Linked DNA regions of Struthio camelus. The protein of the gene in region 1 interacts with the protein of each later gene in a biochemical or structural test. Links are inferred from orthologs where the notes say so. Each region holds a gene or a part of one and is shown on either strand. Other genes may lie near its edges.

Evidence for each region. The genes of interacting proteins can lie anywhere in the genome.
Region 2: the proteins of PTEN (region 1) and RPS9 form a complex in vitro, tested with the Homo sapiens proteins (2 studies listed by BioGRID). The link is inferred for Struthio camelus from reciprocal best matches to the Homo sapiens genes PTEN and RPS9.

What each region holds. Positions count from the first base shown.
Region 1 is NC_090948.1:43,321,343-43,329,188, reverse strand, and holds the start of PTEN (phosphatidylinositol 3,4,5-trisphosphate 3-phosphatase and dual-specificity protein phosphatase PTEN), read right to left. Parts: upstream 3,294-7,846; 5' UTR 3,214-3,293; coding exon 3,135-3,213; intron 1-3,134. UniProt on the Homo sapiens protein: Dual-specificity protein phosphatase, dephosphorylating tyrosine-, serine- and threonine-phosphorylated proteins.
Region 2 is NW_027182668.1:39,736-46,988, forward strand, and holds the start of RPS9 (small ribosomal subunit protein uS4), read right to left. Parts: upstream 3,121-7,253; 5' UTR 3,106-3,120; coding exon 2,923-3,105; intron 2,005-2,922; coding exon 1,893-2,004; intron 1,729-1,892; coding exon 1,606-1,728; intron 1,518-1,605; coding exon 1,331-1,517; exon of another isoform or gene 1,221-1,330; intron 117-1,220; coding exon 1-116. Other genes in the region: serine/threonine-protein kinase LMTK3, read left to right, coding at 4,964-5,012, 6,429-6,562. UniProt on the Homo sapiens protein: Component of the small ribosomal subunit. The ribosome is a large ribonucleoprotein complex responsible for the synthesis of proteins in the cell. Part of the small subunit (SSU) processome, first precursor of the small eukaryotic ribosomal subunit.

The DNA of each region.
Region 1 (7,846 bases):
TCAGAATTTCTCATTCCTAAAATTCTACATCACCCCTGTAAGAAGAATTCTTAACCAAGTCTTTAGGAACTGTAAGTCCCATCCAGGAAAGTACGACGTACTCTACCATACATGAATCTATGTTAGTTTAAATGGATTTGACATGGCCCAAAAGAAGAAAAAAGCCCAGGTCCTCAAAGGGTACTTTGGCACTCCAGCACCTAACTCAGCCTATATTTTGGCACTAAGATATTCCCTAAAAGGCCTTGGGAGAAGTAGCCATGACTGAAATGTAAAGACTACAAGTCTTTGTCCCCCTGCGATTCCAAGACATGAACCGGCCCTCAAGGATAGGTGCAGGAAAAGACGGACCGCACAGCCCAATTCAAAGTTTGGTGATCAGATACCTCACCTGGATTCCCGTCCTTACTCTAGCAGATTCACAGTAAGATTTGACTCTCCATCTCCCACAGTCTAGGAAACCGTCAGTTACTAAGTATTTTGGAACCTCCACTAACACTGATCTACTCTGTATAAAAATATTTACTGGAAGAAGAAATTCATACTTCAGTTTCCCACATCCCAGCTAAAAGGCCAAATCACTGGGCTATATAGTCCTGTAAGACTTTCTCCTTTAGCTTGGAAAGCCAGGGAAGGCCAGCTAACCAACAGCAGAAACCTAGATGCAAGCTTGACTCGCTCTCCAGCACACAGCGAGAAACTGATTGGAGAATTTAAATCCCAATTCTGCTATCATACACCACATACCTTCCCAAAGAGCTCATTTAGGTTTCAATTTTTTTTCATTTGGGTTACAATTTTTTCCTCTTTCTTCATCTAACATTGCATGGTTGGAAAGCTCAGCTCCAAGCTCAGTCCTCTGTCTACTCAAGTAAGAAGGCTATTTTCCAAGAATGAGGTAGCAACGATTCCCTCAAAACCTCGTGAAGAGAACAGCTCCATGAAGCCTGCACAAAATGATAGAATATTAAAATCTCACTCTTGCAGCAAGGTTGGCCTTCCAGTATAGCCATTATATCAGGCATGCAGTGTCTTCATTCACTAATTATCTGTTCAAAATGTGCAACTATGAATTAAAACAGCACCTAATGTGAGCATAAGCTTCTTCCAGAGGTGTTTCCACAATCATTAAAATACATTTTTTCCCCATAAATTTCATTACAGAATTGCAGTCAGCTACTGCTTTTAGGAAAATCAGCCTAAGTCCAGTTTTCAGTGACCTACTTCTAAGGCAATATTTTAAGAATAAAATTAATGAGACAAAAGTTGTCTAAAAAAACCCAATAAACTCCATTTGGCATATCATTAAAAGCCTTGAATAAGAAAATCCAGGATCAACTAAAATTCAGCAGTTTTTTTGCCAAGAAGCACATAATAAATACAAGCAGATAAGTAGTTAAAAAGATGTGAAGATCTGTCTGTGTCAAAAATCCCTCCTGACCAACTGCATATTTGGGCAAAGACATCTGAAACAGTTCTACAACTGAAAAGCCAAAAACCCATCATTTTGTCACCATTTAACACTTCTCTTAAGCCAGAAGTTCCCAGCAAGCACATTACTCGGAAAAATCAAAAAGTCTAACTCAGACTTCTGTCTTTAAGTCAATAATAAGCTAAGCGCTGCGCTGGCCTATGTCACTGTTACAACTGTCCAAATTGTAGGCCAAAGAAGTGACCGACTGAGAACATATGAAATGCAGGCCTAAAATTCTATTTTATCAATACCACAACCAGAGCACAAGAACTACACAGAGCTCCTACTTTTAGTTAAGCTCAGCAGTCACCTGCTAACGTCAAAAGCTTTCAAGCTGCTTTAAAGCCACCAAAATTTTAGGCCAAATCTCAGAGTAACAGCAGGAGCTCTACACCAGTTACAGCAGTTTGCTTCCATCCTGCCCAAGAATTTGGCTGTATATGTAGCATTTGCTGTGACATAAATATATTTGCCCTGAAAAACAGCAAAGCCTACTCTGACCCTGTTGCAGAGCAGAAAGCAGTCTCAGTCCGTAGAAGATCCTAAGTCCAGATCTGAATACTACTGTCATTTTTCATCTTTCCTAACACAGTTTTAGCTTTTATGCGAGACGGTATCAGGCTCTTCTCTCACTTAATAACCTTTCAAACACAATAACGATGAACTTCTCCACGAAGAAAAGGTACACCCACAGTACTAGCCCTACATACTATTACCTCTGCAAGGCATTCAAAGCTAAACATCTGTCTGCGGTAGCTAGAGCACATCTGTTCAGGAGGCCACCAAAACTGCTCAGTTCTTTACGGTTTGACTCATTAGTTCTAATTGCATACTAATTACATACTCCAGAACTGCTCCTCGCTACCCTCTTCAACAAGCCCTGATGTATTCTCATTGGTAATACATGCAGTATCTCAGATTAGGCCAAAGTAGGGCTTACAGAGCACTTTAGCTATCTAGAGAAGCATTTTTTTCATTTAGAAGAACACCGAGGAGCGCTGCTGCCCGTAACTGAGCAGCTGGCCATACCTGACTGCAGCAGAGCACTAGCTATACCTCCCCGCTTAACGCAAGAAAATCAGCGCAGAGGACACAGGCCACGCGAACCTAAGCAGCCCCAGGAAAGCGGCAGGCCACGCCGCAATCGTGTTTGCGATTCAAGGCGAGTTCCTAAATCGAAAAGCGCTCTGCACGCGAGTCACGGCAGGACAGGCGTCATTTGCCGAGCTGAAAACCAGCGCAGCCAGAGATAAGAGGCGGCAGCCCCGCGTTACTTCGGACACGGCCGGGGACCCGCTGGGCCCGGGGGAGGCACAAACCACCCAAATCAGGAGCGGTGCCAGCACCGGGCACGCAAGCGCGCCGCAACTGCGAGCGAGCCCTCCCGGTAATCTTCGCCATCACCATTAGCCACGGGCAGCTCCCGTTGATCCGCACGGCCCCTCGCCTCCCCGACAAAAGGAGGCCGGAGGGCGGCGGGGCGGGGGGCCCCCCCGGCTCTGCTCCGCTCTCTCTCCCTCCCGGCGGAGCGGCACCGGGAAGCGCATTAGGTAACCGCCGCGCAGGGTCTGATGCAATAGCTGTACGTGCACCACCGGTTTTCGGGTTTCATCTCCCGCCGGGCGCGGGGCCGCGGCCCGGGGAGGCCGAGCAGGGATACAGGTCAGGTCCAAGTCGAAGCCATCCTCCTGGTAGCGCCTTTTGTTCCTGCTGACGATCTCTTTGATGATGGCGGTCATGTCTAGGAGCCGGGGGCCGCTCCGGGACAGCGCGCAGAGGCCGGCAGGAGGCGGCGGCGGCGGCGGGGCGCGGGGCCGGCGGCTGCCGGGCGGCCCCGGGCGCGGGGCCTGCTGCTCCGGCGGCTCAGCCCGAGGCCCCGCGGCGGGCGGCGGGGGCGCAGGCGGGCCCGCCTCCCCCCGCGGCGGCGGCGGCTCCCGGCGGCGGCGGCTGCCCCCTCCTCCTCCTCCTCGTCCTGCCGCCGCTGCGCCGAGCGGGGCGAGAGCGGCGGCGGCGGCCGAGCAGGGAGGGCTGAGAGCCGGGCCGAGTCCCTGAGGGTGCTGCCGCCGCCGCCGCCGCCGTCTTTGAGGCGAGCGCGGCGGAGGCGGAGAGAGCAGCTCTCCGGCGCTCCGGGCCCCAGCAATGGTGACAGCGGCGCGGGGCGCCCCCCCGGCCCGGCCCCGCTCCGCCCCGCTCCCCGCCCGGGGCGGCGGCGGCGGACCCGGGGCCGCGCGGTGGGGCCGCGCAGCCGGGCGGGAGGGCGGGCGAGCGCTCCCCGGCAGGCGGCGGCGGGGCGGGCGGGCGGCGGTGGCGGCGGGCGGCGCGACTCAGGGCGTGCGGGGCTCCGGCCCGGCCTGGCTCATCTCCCCCGGCCTCGTCCGCGCCCAGCAGCGCCGCGCCAGCGCTAGACTCCCATCATGGCTGCAACTTCCGAGAGGGGAGAAAGCGCTGGCCCCGCCCCCTCCGCCGCCGCCTCCGCCGGCGCGAGAAAGTAGTCCCGCCACATCACCGCCGCCGCCCGCCCCGCCCCCCCCCTCCCCGCTCCGCCGCCGCGCCCCGCCGCCGCCGCCGCCCGCCCGCCCGCTCCCCGCCCCCCCACCCCACCACCACCACCGCAGCCCTGCGGGGGCGAGGCCGCGGCCCGGCGGAGGGATACGGGCGGCTCACATCGCCGAGCGGCGGGGGAGGGGGGGCGCGCTGGGAAGGGGGGGAGGTCACGTGGGCGCCGAGCGGCGGGGCTGCGGGAGGTCACGTGGGCGCGGCGCCGCGCTCGCGGCGGCCCCCCCCCCCCCCGCTCCGCGGGCGGAAGTGGCCGGGCCGCGGAGGTGAGCGAGCGGCGCGGCGCCGCCTCCGGCCCGGGCGGGGGGCGGGGGGGGCAGCGCCGCGGCCTGGCTCCCCTAGCCGGGACAAACGGGCTTTGGGCCGCTGCCGTGGCGGCGGGGACGAGCCTCGAGGCCCCGCTGCCCCTCGAGGAGCGGGGGCGGCGGTGCGGGGAGGGGGGGGGCGTGACCGCCGGCGGGGAAAGGAGGTGGGAGACGGCGGCCGCGGGTGACTGGGGCGCGCGGGGGCGGCCGCCGTGGGGTGGGGGGGGCCGCCGTGGGGTGGGGGGGGTACGCGGACAGCCGAAAAGACTCGTTTTCTCCTCTGGCTGTGGCCGGTGCTCGTGTAATTTATTGCCACGTTAAAGACGCTGGGAGCTTGCTCGGGAGCTGCCGTCCTCCACCCGCGGCAGTAGTGTGTGGGCACCTGCTGCCCCCTGCAGCCACCGAGGTCCCAGGGGAGAGGTTTTTGGCCGAGCGGTCTTGGCCACCTGGGGTAGGTACTTCACGCAGGGCTCTGGCATCTGAGCGAGCAGGTGGGAACAGAAAGTGCCCTTCTGGGCCACAGCAGTGTTACTTCTCCAATAGCGGGAACGCCCTTTTGGAAGAGGGTGCAAGCTGGGGTGCTTTCTGTGCTCTGCGTGTGCGGTTGTTGAATTCGGTCTGCCAGAGGGGACGTCTCTGCTTATTTCCCTTAGCATCCGTTGGTGGCCGTGTTCTGTGCGAGTTTGTCTTATCCCTTTTTGATGCTGTTGATCCTGTCTGCCTCCCCCAGCTCCAGTGGCAGCAAGGTCCAGAAGCTCGCTCCCTGCTGCATAAAGAAGTACTTTTTTATCCGTTTTAAACTGATCTCCTATTAGTTTCATTGCAAGGCCTTTTGTTCTAGTACTGCAGAATATGGTGAGTGAGCCGAGTAATACGTGCAGCTTATCCACCACCTTGATGATCAGGTAAACCTCACTTGTAAAGGCCCCCCAGCCCCACGCCCTGGCTGATCAAAATTGATTATCCTGACAGGTGACAAGTGCTGTCTCTAAATCTCCAAACCAGCCTTCACTGGAATGGGACCATTCCTTTTACAGCAACTTTTACAGATAAACACCATCACATCATAAGTGTCTTCACGCTCCGGTCTGAAAACTGCTTTATTAAGGTAGCGAGCATTGCTCATGTTAATGATTTGCAGAACAGTGACTATCAAGCTGCCCATCCCAAGCTGGACTTCTGAGTATGAAAGCTGGCTGGAGTCTCAGTTAACTATCAGTTTTTCCATCGGAGTTGATATGACTATGGCTTTTTCTTTTGTGCAGACAAGTGAAATGTTAGCCTGTTGGGGTAATACAAAACAACATACTTTAAGGCAACTTAGAATGCATGACTTTACATGAAGCGTCAGGAACGGAAACTGCTGGAGATGGGCATTTGCCACAAATATTGAGGGAACAGAGGAGACCCTGACAGATAATACCTTAGAAGAAACAGGGTTACTTGGTAGAAGTAAATTTGCTTCTCTCAAAAACATTGTCTTCACAACGTTCTTTTGGTGAACGGTAGGTAACTTGAGGGATATTCCATGCACATCAAAGACAATATACCTTTGAAGAAAGCCTGTTTAAAAGGAAGGAGAAAACAGCTGTTAGCTTTATAAAGGAGTGATGGACATCTCCAGAAATCCACAAGGAATAAAAAGAAAAGGGAAGAGAAAACGCTTCCGCTGTAACTAGAAAAGAGACATTTTGGAAAGAACTGGCCTCATGGGAAGAAGAGAACCTGTGCATTCCTTCCTCTTCTCTCTTTGAAAAACGGATGATATAAACCAGACAGAAATCTCCCTAAAGAACAGATCCTGGTTCTTAGTTCATAGACATCAGTTAAATGTTTCTGAGGCTGGCCGCAAAAGATACCTTGCCTGAGAAAGGCAAGGTATCACAGTGAAGACAGCACTCCCAGGAACACCAGCAGGAAACTTTTACATGGTTCACTTAGTAATTGCATTACCTAACGAAGGGTTATCAAATACATTTGAGCAGGAAACTTACGAGTAAAATCATAACGCCTCTCTTGCATAGTGGTTAGATACTGTGGAAAATTTATTGGTAAGCAACATAGTCAACTAGGAAAGATGGGATAAAACATTCTCTCTCTCTGTATAAAAAGATAATAAATAGAAATTTTTATACATATGTAAGACAATACTTTCTGAAACTGTTTCCGTTCTGAGGAACAGCAAACAGGAATTCATGTTTCAGATACTCCAAAGGATATGATAAATCTGTTGTCTTGTTCAGTCTTTAAATGACTTTTAAGAGAGGTGCTGAAGTCTAGCTGCAGATGGTTGGAACAGGTAGAGGAATTGAAGCATGAAGTTTTATGTTGTGCTTTTAACAGAGTCAAAATAAATTGGAATGTAGGGTGGAAGGATCTCCTGGGTCGCTGCAGCCTCCAGCCTTTGCAAATGCTATATAATATAATTCCTTTCACAAATGTATCAAGTTTCCTCTTAAGATCTTTTGTTACCATAATTCCCACTGAGAAGCTGTTCCCAGAATGTTCTTCTGATTTTCATGCTAAATATATTTGTGACTGGTTTATATCCATTTGTTCCGGTGCCAGCGTTGGCCTTAAATAGCTCTTACTCCATCATATTTACCCTTTGTGCGTTTACAGATAGAAATGTTGTCCCTCTTAGCCTTCGTCTGACTAGGCTCAGCTAGCTCAGCTCTCCTAACTGTCCGTTCTCCCTCATCTCAGTAGTGGCTTTCTGCTCCAGTTTCAGTTTTACTCATTTCTCTTCAATATACATGACCAGAATGGCATGCAGTGTTCTAGATGGTATCTTGCCAGATCCAAGGACAATGGTATTAATCCCTTCCAAACTCTGCTAGAAACATTGCTCCTAAGACATCTTAGGGCCCTATTTTCCTATTCACACTGGCAGCTCATATTTATTTTGGGATCAACTAGTGTGTACGGTCAGATCATACTGTTCTTTTGCAACCTACAAACGTATGAAGGGAACCCATGAAAAGATTTCACGGCAGCGCCTACTTTTAGACCCCGGACTCAGAGGTTACCCATAGGCAAATATACTTGTGCTTAGCAAATGAAGACCATCTTTTAAAACATTTCCAAAGGTCCTGCAAGTGTAAAGTGTGTCCCTCTAACATCCAGCCACGCTTCCTTGTCTCTAGGAAGTTGATATGGCTTAGCTGAAACTCTTTTGGCTAGCTTCCTGAGTCCAAGTCAGAACAAGACCAAAAAGCAATCTGAGCAGAAAATAGCCTATCAATGGCCATTGTGTCAGCAAGTCGTGAGATAGGTCTTCATCAAGCTATGTGGTAACCATCTTTATCATGACAACCGCTGCTGAAATCCCATTATCCAAGCTGCATGACTATGCCAGGAATTAGTAGGAAGGGGAGAGAAAATAATTATGTCAGTGTTTAAATTCATGCTATGCGTCCATCCTAAACTCTCTCTCGCTCTCTTGGTCAGGTTCCGTTTTAAAAAGTATAGAACAGATCTGAAGAAGATTCGATGAAGGGAAGCATGGATG
Region 2 (7,253 bases), on another chromosome or scaffold:
GCTTGACGCGCCCGGGCCGGCCGCCGCCGTAGGGCGAGCGCAGCGAGAAGTCGATGTGCTTCTGCGAGTCCAGGCGCACGATGAACGACGGGATGTTCACCACCTGCTTGCGGACCCTGCGGGGCGCCCGGGGGGCTCAAACCCACCCCGCCGCGGGGCGCCGGGCCGCCCCCGGGGGGCGCAGCGACCCCAAACCGCCCCCAACGGGGAGTCGGGCCGCCCCCGGGGGGCAGAGTGACCCCAAACAGGGAGCCGGGCCGCCCCCGGGGGGCGCAGCAACCCCAAACCGCCCCCAACGGGGAGCCGGGCCGCCCCCGGGGGGCACAGCGACCCCAAACCGCCCCAAAAATAGGATGAGACCACCCTCAGGGCTCAAACAGCCCCCAAACAACCCTAAACAGCCCCGAAAACAGGATGAGGTCGGCCCCAGGGAGCCCTCAGGGCTTGAACTGCCCTCAAAGAGCCCTCAACAGCCCCACAAACAGGGGGAAGAAGCCCCCCAAGGCTGAAAAAGCCACTAAGAAACCCAAAAGAGCCCCAAAAACGGGATGAAGCAGCCCCCAAAGATCCTGCGAGGGAACCGGGGCCGAAATTGTGATGAAACACCCCAAAACGGCCCCAAAACCAGGGGGAAGCAGCCCCCGAGGATCCTGCGAGGGAACCAGGGCCGAAATTGTGATGAAACACCCCAAAACGGCCCCAAAACCAGGGGGAAGCAGCCCCCGAGGATCCTGCGAGGGAACCAGGGCCGAAATTGTGATGAAACACCCCAAAACGGCCCCAAAACCAGGGGGAAGCAGCCCCCGAGGATCCTGCGAGGGAACCAGGGCCGAAATTGTGATGAAACACCCCAAAACGGCCCCAAAACCAGGGGGAAGCAGCCCCCGAGGATCCTGCGAGGGAACCGGGGCTGAAATCGCAATGAAACACCCCAAAACGGCCCCAAAACCAGGGGGAAGCAGCCCCCGAGGATCCTGCGAGGGAACCAGGGACCAAAATCGCAATGAAACACCCCAAAACGGCCCCAAAACCAGGGGGAAGCAGCCCCCGAGGATCCTGCGAGGGAACCGGGGCTGAAATCGCAATGAAACACCCCAAAACGGCCCCAAAACCAGGGGGAAGCAGCCCCCGAGGATCCTGCGAGGGAACCAGGGACCAAAATCGCAAGGAAACACCCCAAAACGGCCCCCCCCGAAAGCGAGGCGAAGCCGGGAGGTTACCTGCGGCTCGGCCCCCCCCCTTCGCAAGGTGTACGGCGGCGCCGCAGTGAGCCTTGCCGACCTCCCAGCTCTACCCGGGCGAGGGGCCCCGGCGTCCGGGCGGCACCCACCGGATGTGCCGCTGGCGGATGAGCACCCGGGCGTGGTGGATGGACTTGGCCAAGCCCAGCTTGAAGACCTGCGTCTGCAGGCGCCGCTCCAGGAAGTCCTCGATCTTCAGCCCCAGGATGTAGTCGAGCTTCATCTTGCCCTCGTCCAGCACGCCGATGCGCACCAGGCGCCGCAGCAGCGCGTTGCCTGCGGAGGCGGATGTGGGGGGGGGAAGGGGCTGTCGGATCCCCTCCCCATCCCCCCGAAAAGGCCCCCCCCGGGGGCGGCCGCTCACCCTCGAAGAGGCGCCGCGGGTCCTTCTCGTCCAGCGTCAGCAGCTCCCGGGCCGCCTTGCGGATCTTGGCCAGGGTGAACTTCACCCTCCAGACCTCCCGCTTGTTCCTCAGCCCGTATTCGCCTGGCGGAGTAGCACCGCCGGCGTGGGGGGCGGTCAGCGAGGCTTCGGACCCCCCTCTCCACCCCCCCCCAAACCCGTGCGGTGGGTTAGGGGGGTGTTGAGGGGTCTCGTACCCCCCCCCAAAACCCAGAGGCGGAGGACCCCACCTCCGCTCCCGCACTCACCGATGAGCTTCAGCTCCTGGTCGAGCCGGGACTTCTCGAAGGGGCGCCGGGGGGTGACGTAGGTTTTTCGGCAGACCCAGCTCCGGGCGACCGGCATGGTGGCCGAGGGGGCCTGGAGGAGGAGGGGGGGGGAGGGATGGATACCCCCCCCCAAAATGGGTTGGGGCCCCGCCTTGTGTTCAGGATCTCCTCTACATTAACCACGCACCCCAAAACAGAGCCCCGGGGGGGGACACCGGCATCCCCGGGGGGGGGGCGGGCACCCCCCAAACAGAGCCCCGGGGGGGGGCACCGGCATCCCCGGGGGGGGGCGGGCACCCCCCAAATAGAGCCCCGGGGGGGGGCACCGGCATCCCCGGGGGGGGGGCGGGCACCCCCCAAATAGAGCCCCGGGGGGGGGCACCGGCATCCCCGGGGGGGGCGGGCACCCCCCAAATAGAGCCCCGGGGGGGGGCACCGGCATCCCCGGGGGGGGGGCGGGCACCCCCCAAATAGAGCCCCGGGGGGGGCACCGGCATCCCCGGGGGGGGCGGGCACCCCCCAAACAGAGCCCCGGGGGGGCTCTCACCCCCTCAAACATCTCCATTACAGCAATGCCAAGGGCTCAGCCCACCGGGGGGGCCCAAAAGCGAGCCCAGGGCAATAACGGGGTCTCAGCCCCCCCCCATCCCGGGGGGGGTGCCGGGTCGCCCCCAAACTGCGCTCCACCCCCCCCCCCTTGGCGGGAGGGGGGGGCACCACGTGGAGTCTTTCTGCGCATGCGCGGAGCGCCCGTGTCAGTTCCCCCCCCCCGCGCCTGCGCAGCTGCGGCCTCGCCACACGGCGGACTCCCAACCGCGCATGCGCAGAGCGGACGCGGGAGCAACACACACACACACACTCCCCCCCCCCGGTAGCCCCACGGCCCTGCCCGGTCCCCGCCGCCCCCCCCCCCAAAACCCCAACGGTCCGGCCTAACCCGGTCCGGCCCCCGGCACCTCTCCGGGGCTGCGGCCGCCCGCCCGCCCCGCCGGGCCCGCCCGGGCCTCACCTCGCTGCCCCGGCGCCGCCGCAAAAGGAGGAGGCCGCCCCACAGCGGCGCTTTATATAGGGCGGCCGGCAGAGCCCCGCCCCCCCTCGGCGGCGGCAGCCAATGGCCGCGCAGCAGGCGAGGCGCGCCGGCCAATGAGAGAGAGCGGTGGCACTGGCCAATGTCCGGGCGGTGTTTGAGCATAGAGTGGGTAGAGCGGCTCCAGGGAGGGCGGCGCCATTGTTCCGGGAGGGAGGGGCGCGGGAGTGGGGGTACTCGGCGCTGCGCAGCGCCCGGTGCGAAGCGGGGCCACCCCGTCCCACGCGTGTCCCCAGGTCCCCGCGTGCCGCTCGGGCACGCTACACGTGCCGTGCTGCGTGTCATCGGCGTGTCCCTGTCCGCCGGCCCACGCGTGTTCCCCTCGCCCCGGGTCCCGTCCGCCTGTCCCGGTGTGTCCCCCGCCTGCGTGTCCACGCGTGTCTCTGTGGTTCCATGCGTGTCCTTGCATGTCCCCGTCTGCGTGTTCCTCCATGTATGTCACTGTGTGTCCCCTGTGTGTCCCTACGCACCCCTGCGTGTCCCCTGTCTGTATGTCCACACGTGTCCCCTGTCTGCACGTCCCTACGTGTTCACGCGTGTCCCTGCGTGTTCTCTGTTGGCGTGTCGCTGTGCATCCGTGTGCGTCGCTGCGTGTGTCCCTGTCTGCGTGTCCCTGCGTGTTCCTGTGTCCTGTCTGTGGGTCCTCTGTCCCCACGTCCGCGCGCATCCCTGCGTGTCCACGCGTGTCCCTGCATCTCCACCCATGTCCACGTGTCCCTGCGTGTTCTCTGCCTGTGCGTCCCTGTGTATCCGTGTATGTCACTGCGTGTGGCCCTGTCTGCGTGTCCACGCGGGTCCCTTGTCTGTGTCCCCATGTGTCCCTGCGTGTCGCTGCACGTGTCCCGTCTGCGTGTCCACACGTGTCCCTGCACGTTCTCTCCCTGCGTGTCCTGCATGTTCATGAATGTCGCCGTGTGTGTCCCGTCAGCATGTCCACGCGTGTCCTGCGTGTCCCTGCACGTGTCCCCCGTCCATGCGTGTCCACACGTGTCCCTGCGTGTCCCTGCATGTGTCCCGTCTGCATGTCCATGCGCGTCCTGCGTGTTGCTGTGTGAGTCCCCTGTCCGTGCGTGTCCACGCGTGTCCCTGCACGTGTCCCCTGTCCGCGTGTCCCCTGTCCACGTGTCCCTGCGTGTTGCTCCGTGTCCTGTCTGCAGGTCCCCGTCTACGTGTCCATGCGCATCCCTGCGTGTCCGCGCGTGTTCTCTGCCCGTTCACGCGTGTCCTTGCGTGTTCTCTCCCGCGTGTCCCTGCGCGTCCCCTGTCCACGCCTCCCCCGTGTCCCCGGTCGCGCCCCCTGCCCGCCTGTCCACGCGTGTCCCCCCCCCCGCGCATCCCTCCTTCCCCCCCCCCCGCCCCGCGGTACCCAGCCCCGTCGCCATGGCGACCCTGCATCCCTCACCCCGCCGTGACGGACGGCCGCCGCGGCCAATGGGAGGCGGCGCCCGGCGGGGGCGGGGCGGGGCGGGGCCGGGGAGGGGGGGGGGGCAGCAGCAGCATCCTCCCGCCCGGCCGCGCCGGCGGCTCCTGGGCGCCTCCGCTATTGCCCCCCCGCATCGCTACAGCCCCCCCACCCTGCTATTTACCCCCCCGCCCTGCTATTTACCCCCCCGCCCTGTTATTGCCCCCCTTATTGCCCCCATCTCCTTTATCCTCTCCCTGTTGCCCCAGCCCCCTTTATTGCCCCCCACCCCCCTTTATTGCCCCCACCCCCCCTTATAGCCCCCATCCCCCTTTCTTGCTCCCTCATCCCCCTTTCTTGCCCCCCCAACCCCTTTTCTTGCCCCCCCCCCGGCCCCTCTCCTGCCTGCCGGGATGCGGGCGGCGGCCGCGGCCCCCCCCGGCCCCCCGCCTGCCCCCCCCGGCCCCCCCCCGCGCTAGGGGCGCTGATGCCGAGCGGGGCGCCGGGATGCGCCGCCCGGGGCCCCCCCCGCTGCTGGCCGCCGCCGCCGCCGCCGCCGCCATGGCCTCGCTCGGGCCCCACGGCGCCCTGGGGGCGCCCGCCCCCCGCGGTGAGTGTCCCCGGCCCCTCGGCCGTCCCCCCCCCCTCCATCCATCCGTCCCTCCCTCCGTCCGTCCGTCCCTCCGTCCCGTCATCCACCCCTCCATCCCCGCATCCCTCTGTCCAACCCGTCCCTCCGGCCGCCCCATCCCTCCGGCCCCGCCGGCCCTCCGTTGTCACCGCCCCCCTCCCGTCCCCCCCCGCCCCACCACCCCTCCGTTGTCCCCATCCCTCCGGCCCCCGGGCCCTGCATCCCTCCGTTGTCCCCTTCCCTCCGTCCCTCCATCCCTCCGTTGTCACCATCCCGCCGTTGTCACCATCCCGCCGTTGTCACCATCCCTCCATCCCTCCGTTGTCCCCTTCCTTCCGTCCCTGCGTCCCTCCGCTCTCCCCATCCCTCCATCCCGCCGTTGTCACCATCCCGCCGTTGTCACCATCCCTCCGTTGTCCCCTTCCCTCCGTTGTCACCATCCCTCCGTTGTCCCCTTCCCTCCATCCCTCCGTTGTCCCCTTCCCTCCGTTGTCACCATCCTGCTGTTGTCATCATCCCTCCATCCCCTGCTCCCTCCATCCCGCCGTTGTCCCCATCCCGCCGTTGTCCCCATCCCTCCATCCCTGTGGCCTTGCCGGGGGCGGGGGGGGGCAGCTGGGGAAGGACCCAGGCGTTCGGGGCCCCCCTCACCCCACTGGGGGGGTAGGATTGGGGGGGAGGGGGCTGAGCCCCCCCCTGCAGGGTCCTTGGGGAGGGGGAACAGCCCCCAGGAGGGGGCCCTGAATCAGCCGCCCGGGACCCCTCAGCCCCATGGAACCCCTCAGACCCCCCCAAAATCAGCCCCATGGACCCCCCAGCCCCATGAACCCCCCCAATCCCCCCCAAATCAGCCCCATGGACCCCCCCAGCCCCATGAACCCCCCAATCCCCCCCAAATCAGCCCCATGGACCCCCCCAGCCCCATGAACCCCCCCAATCTCCCCCAAATCAGCCCCATGGACCCCCCCAGCCCCATGAACCCCCCCAATCTCCCCCAAATCAGCCCCATGGACCCCCCCAGCCCCATGAACCCCCCCAAATCAGCCCCATGGACCCCCCTGCTCCCCCAAATCAGCCCCATGGATCCCCCAAGCCCTATGGACCCCCCAAGACCCCCCCAATGAGCCCCATGCACCTCCCAGCCCCATGGACCCCCCCAGACCCCCCCAATGAGCCCCATGCACCTCCCAGCCCCATGGATCCCCCCCAGACCCCCCCAATGAGCCCCATGCACCTCCTAGCCCCATGGACCCCCCCCAGACCCCCCCAATGAGCCCCATGCACCTCCCAGCCCTATGGACCCCCCCAGACCTCCCCAAATCAGCCCCGCAGCCCCCTCTAGCCCCACCGTCCCCCCCAGCATTGCCCCCCCCCAATGAGCCTCGGTGCCCGCAGGGAGCCTGCCGCCAGGCCGGGTGCCCCTGGCCCCCCCCTACGCCGTGGTGCTCATTTCCTGCTCCGGCCTCCTGGCCTTCGTCCTCCTCCTCCTCACCTGCCTCTGCTGCAAGCGGGGCGACGTCGGCTTCAAGGTGGCGGCGGGCACCCAACGGGGGCTCGGGGGGGGGGCTTGTGGGTGCTCTAGGTCGCTCAACGAGGGCTCAGGATGGTTCAAGGAGGGGGTTCTAGGTCACCCAACAGTTTGGGGGGACCCAACAGTGGTTGGGGAGGGTCTTATGGGCTTTCTGGGTTCCTCAAGGGGGGCTTGGGATCGTTCAAGGGGGAGAGGGTTCTAGGTCATTCATCAGTTTGGAGGGACTCTATGGGTGCTCAAGGGCACCCAGCAGGGGCTTGGGAGGGGGCCTATGGATGCTCTGGGTCACCCAGTGGGCTCTTGGGGTGGTTCAAGGGGGTTCTAGATCACCCAACAGCTCAAGGTGATCCTGTAGGCCCTCTAGGTCATCCAGTGGCTGCTCAGGGTGGGGATCTATGGGGCTTTATGTCACCCCACAGCTCGAGGGGACCCCATGGGTGCTCAAGAGCACCCAACAGGGGCTAGAGAGGGGGGCCTGTGGGTGTTCTCAGTCACTCAATGTGGGCTTGGGGTGGTTCAAGGAGCGTTCTAGGTTACCCAACAGCTAAAGGGGACCCTGCGGGTGCTTGTAGGCACCTAAAAGGGGCTTGGAAGGGGTCCTATGGGCGTTCCAGGTCACCCAAGGGGGAATTGGGACAGTTTGAGGGGGGTTCTAGGTCACCTAAGAGCTCGGGGGTGGGGGATGCTGG